Linked DNA regions of Oryzias latipes. The protein of the gene in region 1 interacts with the protein of each later gene in a pairwise test. Links are inferred from orthologs where the notes say so. Each region holds a gene or a part of one and is shown in the gene's direction. Other genes may lie near its edges.

Evidence for each region.
Region 2: the proteins of fst (region 1) and txn interact in binary tests that used the Homo sapiens proteins (3 or more experiments, as listed by UniProt). The link is inferred for Oryzias latipes from reciprocal best matches to the Homo sapiens genes FST and TXN.

Annotation. Positions count from the first base shown.
Region 1 is NC_019867.2:5,754,324-5,758,600, reverse strand, and holds the start of fst (follistatin), read left to right. Parts: upstream 1-1,346; 5' UTR 1,347-1,502; coding exon 1,503-1,593; intron 1,594-2,700; coding exon 2,701-2,898; intron 2,899-3,058; coding exon 3,059-3,277; intron 3,278-3,420; coding exon 3,421-3,645; intron 3,646-4,214; coding exon 4,215-4,277. UniProt on the Homo sapiens protein: Multifunctional regulatory protein whose primary function is to antagonize members of the transforming growth factor beta (TGF-beta) superfamily including activin, myostatin, GDF11 or bone morphogenetic proteins (BMPs).
Region 2 is NC_019876.2:18,250,110-18,254,571, reverse strand, and holds the start of txn (thioredoxin), read left to right. Parts: upstream 1-1,445; 5' UTR 1,446-1,642; coding exon 1,643-1,666; intron 1,667-2,864; coding exon 2,865-2,969; intron 2,970-3,639; coding exon 3,640-3,705; intron 3,706-3,907; coding exon 3,908-3,973; intron 3,974-4,462. UniProt on the Homo sapiens protein: Participates in various redox reactions through the reversible oxidation of its active center dithiol to a disulfide and catalyzes dithiol-disulfide exchange reactions.

The DNA of each region.
Region 1 (4,277 bases):
TTTTCTTCTTTGAAACCCTCTAACAAAATAAATGTTCAAAGTTGGGCCACATGTTGAAATTAAAATTAAATGACACTGATTAAAGCAGATGCAGACTGTTTACCATTTCAAAACGTTTTTTGTACTCCAAAAAAAAGAGTATTTCATGAATCTTTTGACATTTTTTGGAACTTAGAATGGAAAAATTGGGAGGGGTGATCAAAGTTTATCACCCAATTAGTTCATTAACAATAAAATTCAATTACTGTAGACATTCAAACTTGATTATACATTTTATTTCCAAGCATTTCTGTCTGCTAGAAGCACATAATGAAGCCCTCGCCTTGAATTGAGGAGGTGACTGTGCCTTCCAGTCTGGGCCTGTGTGCACGCTACCCAACAAGTTTCCTGATTGTCGTGCGTGATTGTGCTTCTGAGAATAACCTTTCTGAAAATATGGAAACGTACTAGTAGTGATACTTGTTCAAACAAGCAGGGTACAACCTGCATCTTGTCGGAGATCGTCCTCTTTCAGGAGGATTTTCTTTCATATTTTGCAAGTAAACGAGACAGAGCGGTGATGTGTTGACGCGGATCGGCGCGTCCTCGGAACTCCCGGCGCGCAGCAGACGCTGCGCTCTGAGCGGCACAGGGACGCGGCACCTGAGTTCCGCCGAAGAGGTCGCGCAAGGACTTCTGAAGGAGTTCCGCGCGCGTCTGCTCCAGCCAGCGGATCTGCGCGCGCGCACGTGTGTGTTTGTAAATGTGTGTGCGTTTCATTCAATGAAACGCAACACCCCAGTTCTCGGTCTCATCGGAAACAGGTTTGATTATATTTAAAAGCTTGACCCGGGAAAGAAACCCAAACAACTGTCTGTTCTAATATTAGCCGCGCGGCTGCCGACTACTATGAATTCTATTATTGTCTGAGCTCGGATATGTTCTCAAAGGCAGCTCATCAAAAGATTTACACTTTTGTCCGCAGTTGGTGGACAAATATCAGTTACCAATCATCTTATCCCTAGATTGAAGGGACTGCGAGATGATCTGATGGGTTTCGTTACCCTTTTAAAGAAACGCAATTCTTCAAAATATAAATTTTAATATTAATGTTAACATTATTATTGCAAGAAAAAAATAGGGAATCCGAGTCTCATATAGTAAACAAATGTTATACTTTCATATTTTTCTTTTCTTCACTCCTCTTATAGCTTCAGGATTCAAACGTCTGGCTTTGCATAACAAATATTTCCATGCTCCTCTCAGCGCAGGGAAGGGAAAGTTCCTTGTAACGATGTCACCTGACTGGGATTGAAAGAACTTGGGTAAGAAAAAAAAAAAACACATCTCCCCACCCCCACAGAAGAGGGGACCGCCCACCACAGACAGTCAACCCGAGACCCCATATAGATTTAAAAAGAGAGGCTGCATTCTCAGACTGACACTTATTCAGCCCTGCCACCTTAAGCAGATTACTTTTGCGCTGCTTGTGTCAAATACGTGGCTCACTTTGCCTCTCCATCATGCTTGGGATGCTCAATCACCACCTCCACCCGGGCATTTTTCTCTTCTTCATGTGGCTTTGTCACCTCATGGAACATCAGAAGGTTCAAGGTAAGCTCTCCTTGTCTGTCTCCTGACTTTTTTTTTTAATATGTTTTAATGTAGAACCTCTAAACGCGCGGATGCAGGAATCTCGTTGCCAAAGGGAAACTTTCCAGAGTGACTTCTGGTTCTTCTTCCTCCCAACGACCAAAACTCTGTGCGCCAGACGGCGTGCGCGTTAACCCTATATAAAACAGGTGCCATGTGGTAATGGCTTCAGACTTCAAAGTGGGGAAAATGGCACATTTCTGCAGCCCTCGGCGGGCTCACGCGCTAGAAGCCGCCACGCAGCGTTCTGTAAATATCTGCACATATTTCAAGACCTTTATGTGAGCGTTGAAAGTGTTTAATGAAGCTGTCGCCTGCCCTCCAACAAACTTCAGAGTGGCCACAGATAGCTTTATGAGCAGTTTATATTTATTTATTTATTTATGGCACACACCCTTTCAGCTTTTGCGCTCGAATTTCTTCCTTTTTCCTTTTTATTTTTGCTTATGAAATAAATGAGCAAACCTCAATTTATGTTGGGGTTCCAAATTCCAAGAGATCTACCATAAAACATCATGTCATAGACACATTATACCAACATAAAAATCAAATTTTATAGCAATTTTGTTATAGTTTTTTGAAAATGTGTCAAAGGTTGACATTTCTGTTTTTTTATGTCATATGACTTTGAATTAAATTCCCCCATGTGTCGCAGACATGTCAGTGTCTGGTACATGTCTGGGATATTTTAGTGAGGCGTTGGAGATGGTGGTTTGTTCAGTCTTGCTGTAAAGACCGTGGTTTTCGTAATGATTGAGCTTCGCTGTCTAGACGATTCAGTTTGTGCGCAATGGCAACAAGGAGATTTTTGGAATAAAAGAAAAAAAGATTCTTTTTTTACTTTTCTAAGTTTGCATTGTAAGAGCTGTCAGTCACAGTTGGGATAGGCAAGTGTTAACAGTCTTGGAAAAAAAATCTGACAAAATACCACCGGGAGGGTGAAAGAGGAGGGAGGGAGCGTTTCAGATAATACAATCCGCCTGCGTGTCTGGTGTGTCTGGGTCTGTGATACACGTTCAGCGAGCGATACTCAAGATTCTTTTCTTTTAATGTTGTTGCTGTTTGCAGCCGGGAACTGCTGGTTGCAGCAGGGAAGGAACGGGAGATGTCAGGTCCTCTACATGCAAGGGATGAGCAAGGAGGAGTGCTGCCGGAGTGGAAGGCTGGGAACGTCCTGGACCGAGGAGGACGTTCCCAACAGCACGCTCTTTAAGTGGATAATCTTCAATGGCGGAGCTCCAAATTGCATACCTTGCAAAGGTGGAGGTGCACTCATTTTCCTTGGTTTTTCGCATAAACTAAAGCACACCACCAATCAAACCGATTATGTGATTAACGCATTCAGCCAACGTAAAGTATCAATGTGTCACTCAATGTCAATCATTTTACGCACACATTCCTTAACGCGGGGGTGTTTTTCTTGTAGAAAGCTGCGATAATGTTGACTGCGGACCTGGGAAGAGATGCAAGATGAACAGAAGAAGTAAACCGCGCTGCGTGTGCGCTCCAGACTGCTCCAACATCACCTGGAAAGGACCGGTCTGCGGCTTTGACGGGAAGACCTACAAGGACGAGTGCGCTCTCCTGAAGGCGAAATGCAGAGGCCACCCCGACCTGGACGTGCAGTACCAGGGGAAATGCAAGAGTAGGTGTTTTTTATTTATTTATTTATGTTTTTTTAATTAACTTTTGAGTCTTTTCAGGCTGCAAGTGAGAGGAGCAGGAAGAAAGAGCGGAGTGGCTGCTGCATTGATTTTCCCATTGACATCATTTTCTCTTTGTCTCCAGAAACGTGCCGTGATGTCTTGTGTCCTGGCAGCTCAACATGCGTCGTGGACCAGACAAACAACGCATACTGTGTGATGTGTAATCGGCTTTGCCCTGAGGCGACGTCACCTGAGCAGTACCTGTGTGGAAACGACGGGATCATCTATGCCAGCGCCTGTCACCTGAGAAAGGCGACCTGTCTCCTCGGCAAGTCTATCGGAGTTGCGTACGAGGGAAAATGCATCAGTAAGTCTGTAACAAGAGATGTGAAAGCGTCACACTGAACCCCCTGACACAGCGCCTCCTTGCAGCCACTTTGATTGTGGCTACATTTTCTCCCTGGCCACCTCTGCAGTAATGCACTTCTCGTTTCTGCCAACATTCCAGTTGGGAGGAGGTCTCAGAGAAAGAGGGTGTTTGGTACTTGCTTGTGTTTGCTCAAGAAATGATAGACATCTTATTATTTCCTGATGTTGGCAGCACTATCCCATATGGGAGAGAGTGAAGGCGAAGTGGAGGAAGTTAGAGAGCAAAACAGGGGAGAGCTGGGGGCCATGAAGAAAAAGCTGCAAGTTTTAGGCCAAATGGTTTCCTATCTAGATAACAATCAATCTGAGCCATGTATTTTCTGGAAAAATGCTCACCCTGAATGCAACTTTGTGTTCCTGATGCATCTGATAAGATAGATGCTGTTTGTTTGTTTTTTCCAGATAAATGCACAGAAAACCCGAACTAATCTAATTCTGTTAAAAAAGTTTTTAGACGTGTGGAATCTAAGTAGCCACTGATGATGATTTCCTCGTCTCTTCATCCAGAGGCAAAGTCATGCGAGGACATCCAGTGTAGCGGAGGGAAGAAGTGTCTGTGGGATTCTAGGA
Region 2 (4,462 bases), on another chromosome or scaffold:
TTGTATACACACATGACGCCTCTGCAGGGAAAACTGCAATGTCGGGAGCACGTCACCAAAGGCTTTGAAAACATGCCAGCTGCTTTTAAGGGGATGCTGAAAGGAGACAACACTGGCAAAGCCGTTGTTGCTGTCTGATGGATGACCAATAAAGGTCTTTACACAATTAATGAAGGAGGATTTTACATATACTGCACTGAAAAATAACTACAAGATATGTATTGTCTTTTCAGTGTTTAGTGAATTAATTTTATTTTTAAAATACATATGTGTGAGATATGTCTGTATTTCTCAATAGAATGTAGTTTTATTTAAATTGTTTAGTATTTTTCTCTTTTTTTCCCGGACAAACGTAAATAAAAAGATTGTTTTCTTACAGCTGTGACACGGCTTCTACCTGAACGGGGAAAAAAATCCAAAAGTGACATTTGCTTGTTTTACAGCGACATAGATAAAACTGTAACCAGATATTGTTGTTTATTCTATAATAAAGGTTGTTTTTGGTCTTTATTGATGTATGCTGGTATTGCATGCATTGCCTAACTGATTTGAACTTGCATCATATTTTAAAGAATGGAATTATGCAAAGATACTTTTAAAAAATGTTTTAAGGTCTAAATTAGGCAATTCTTAGGCTTCAAATGAAGTTTCCTTATTTTTACGATAGAACCTGTTGGAACATTCACATATGTAGTCTAAATACTCAAATTCTTTATTCAAATATGTAAATGGAAAAACAAGTCTTTGTGTACCATCTTTTAGAATTAATCTTCTGATTAAATCACTTCCCTAAACTTATTCCAACCATGATCAAACTGCAATAATTTGTCTAAATATTGCAATTTTTTGTTATAGTATGGACTTTTCTGTTTATTGTTTACCCCTTACTTTAGTTGTAAAAGAATAAACAAATAAAGTCTTTTTAAGCTATTACGTAATAAGACTAGTGCAGGGGTGTGGCCTCATGGGCGTTGACCAGAGTTTGTACAAGGAAATATGGTCTGCAGTGACCATGTTTACGGTAGTACAGAAATTTGCCAAGTCATTGTGATTCGACTGTCTGATCAAGCGTTGACGGAATTAAAAACAAAAAAAGTATTTCAACTTACTATCGATATAATTCTCTAAAAGGACGCGTTATTGTTAGTAGATTAGTTTTGCAAGTTATTTTAAGCCGCAACGAAACAACAACGAAGCACTAACGGGCCTCAGATATATATAGCCTGACATCACCGATTCTGTAGTTTTTATTCTCAGTAAAGAGCTAAAATATTTGCAAGAATCCAGGAAAGGAAACCATTCTGTTTATAACTTTCAAAATAAAAGTATTTTTCGTGAAGCTTTACCAGTAATAACACAACTGCTGATACAACATGAAATCAAGTACGGTTACAACACATTTCATGCACAATCATAGTGGCAATGACGTATACACACGGCGTTCTTTTAATATAAATGATTCGCTTAAACATAAAAGACTGGCTTTTATTTTGTTAGTCAACCCATCAGCTCTTCCGCTGCGACGTGTTAGTCTGACGCCGTTATAAATAGGGCAGGTCATCCTCTTTGACTGAAAGTGTGGTCTTTGCGAAGCCGCTGTCTTTTAGATTCAGCGAGAGTTTGCCTTTTCAAAACAGCAAACATGGTCCGTGAAGTGGCTGATCTTGTAAGTAGTTCTATAAATACAATTAATCATGTCTTTATTTATTTCGCTGTACTACTACATACATTCAGGACAGCACAGTTGACGTTAGGTAGCCGCGCGGTTATTTTCTCAGCAAGCTTCTATCTACTTACCTTTTTTGCAAGAAAAAAAAACCCTGTTAAAGCATTTATTCGCTTAGAGTTAGCATGTTTATTGTCGTTGATGGAATAAATTACTCCGACAGAATAACTCTGGAGGCTGTATTGCTAATGTTTAGTTGTTTTTTCTTTTTTTCCATTTTCTACCCATGATGCACGAGGGCGGACTTTGCTATCTTGTTGCCGCGCGAACACGTTGCCAGGGTTACAAGTTTTCGGAAAGGTTTTACCGTTAACTAGATAAAAAATCTTTTAGTAATACACCAAAAAAACGTTCCTATCATGGCTCAGATGAGCAGAAAGCTACAATAAAGTACTAGTTTGAGTAAAAGTCAACTCCTATTTGCGACACTTGGACCATTCCGCTAGGCCTCGGGCCGCCTCTGTCCGTGTGTACACATGCCTGGATGTCAAAACTGCTGAAATCATTCAGACTTCTGGGTGTCACTGGTTGCGTCCGAATTCCTTCACTAATCACTACAAAGTGCACTGTGCGTTCGCCATTTTGTAGTGCTGTCCGATTCTACAATTCCAAAATCGAGTGCCCTGCAAATTTCCCAGAAATCTCCGCAAAAAAACAGTGTGCATCAATGCTCACTAGATCTGTGAATATAGATCACAATGCATGGCATCAAATCTATTTTTGCTTAAAAATGTATTTAAATGTACTTTCTGAACAACCTGTCAAGTGTTTTTATCTTCAGAAGACTGATAAATGATCCTCGCAAAATGCTCCTATCAATTAGATTTTAACTTCGTGAAATCGATGACGTCATATCCGCCGTAAATTAAAAAAAAAAGTAGTGGGCATGGTGTCCAAATTGCTTTTAAGTCGGTGCACTCTATAGTTTTTTTTAGAAGTTGGGGGTTAGGGTGGGAATTCAGATACAGCGACTGCTTTTGATCTGGGGCTGTTCTGCTAATCATTAGCCAAACCTTTGATAACCACTTATCGTTACACTATGGGAAAGCCTGCTGACAAAATGAAGTAATTTATTTAAACGAATTCTTTACCTTTATGCTTATTTAAAATAAATGATGGAAACATGCTTTTTTTGTAGGCAGAATTCAAGAAAATTCTGGAAGACGCTGGAGACAAGCTGGTGGTTGTGGACTTTACTGCATCATGGTGTGGGCCCTGCAAACAGATTGCCCCCTTGTACAAGGTAGATAACTGGAGCTTAAAGACTTGATCCGATGAAAATGTTTTTAACATGTTTTTGTGCCCATTTTCTGATAAAGGAGAACATGTATAAAGAAATTTAAGCTTAAAAATGCATTTCTGAGTACTTCTTTTTCTTATTGTGAATCAGTCACAGGCAAGAAAGGACAGTTTTGACAGAGCTTGTAGTTGTAATGTAGAAGCTACAATCTGCAGGCCACAAGCTCCCTGCTCCACTCCATACTGATGCCTCTACTTGCAGACAAATGGATCCATGTACGTCTTTGTTTTCCTCGTCTGAGCTGTCATCCGGCTCAAAACTGTATGCCTGATAGCTCCGATATTGCTCACCATTTTTGTTTCACCTGTAGTGTTAGGTTGGGGGTTTGATGGGCTTTAAGCTAGTCGGAGAGCTCGGAAGTTACAACCCCTCTCTGTCAACCGTCCCAACCAGCGAATAGAAACAGGGGGACCAATTGAAAACGGTGTTTAAATGTAGATGCATTGTTACTATGGCAACCCTATAAGGTTTACCTCCCCACTTCAAGGAGAGGAAGTGCTTGTTCACAGGAAATGGTCCAACACACACCCAGTATGATTTTTCAGTAAAAGTGCTCTGTTTCTGTAGAGTTGAGTCTAATGTACTGTTGTTGTATGTACTTGTTGTCTTGCAGCAAATGTCGGAAAGCGATGACAACAAGAATGTGGTTTTCCTGAAGGTGGATGTGGACGAGGCTGATGTGAGTGTGCACGTTCTCCTCCTTGGCCAGTACAAACTAGCTTTGTTTTAATGGGCAAAACCAGCTTTTGTTTTTAGTCTCTCTACTTTATGAAAGCGTTAGGTTGCAATTGGGGGCCAGCAACAATAATTACTTAATAATTGTATTTTTATTTTTTTTAATTTTGATTCATAAAAAAAAACTGTTGCTTTTTCTCTTTCAGGATATCAGCAGTTTCTGTGAAATTAAATGCATGCCTACATTCCACTTCTACAAGGGGGGCAAAAAGGTAAGTAACTGAGTGCAGTAGTTGAAAAGTTTATAACTTTTTACAGAGGTTCTGATGACTTCCTTTAAAAAAAGAGACCCTGTGTCACATGGGATCATTAAGAGAGTCTTACTGTATTTTTCAAACCATAAGGTTATCTTAAAATCCTTGTATTTGTAAAATACTATTTATAAATTGAGTGTACTTACTGCCCTCAAATTGATTTCCTTTGGTACATGGGGCCCAAAAATCTGCCAAAATGTTTTAGTTTGACTTGTGATGCGTCCCGTCTGTCAAATGTTGTGGAATGAGTTGAATGAAGTTTAAGTTTACTTTGTCTTTTTTGCTATTTAAAAGGAAAACCTCTTTGTCTTTCTTTAACCAGAGAGCCATGTGTGCCCTGGTTTAAGTGATCCCTGTTTAAGCCCTGTGTAAGCTTGACTTAAACAATTAAACCAGCCTGGAAGCCCTAATGTCCATCCTGCAGTAGCAGAAACGGCTAGTTTTTGT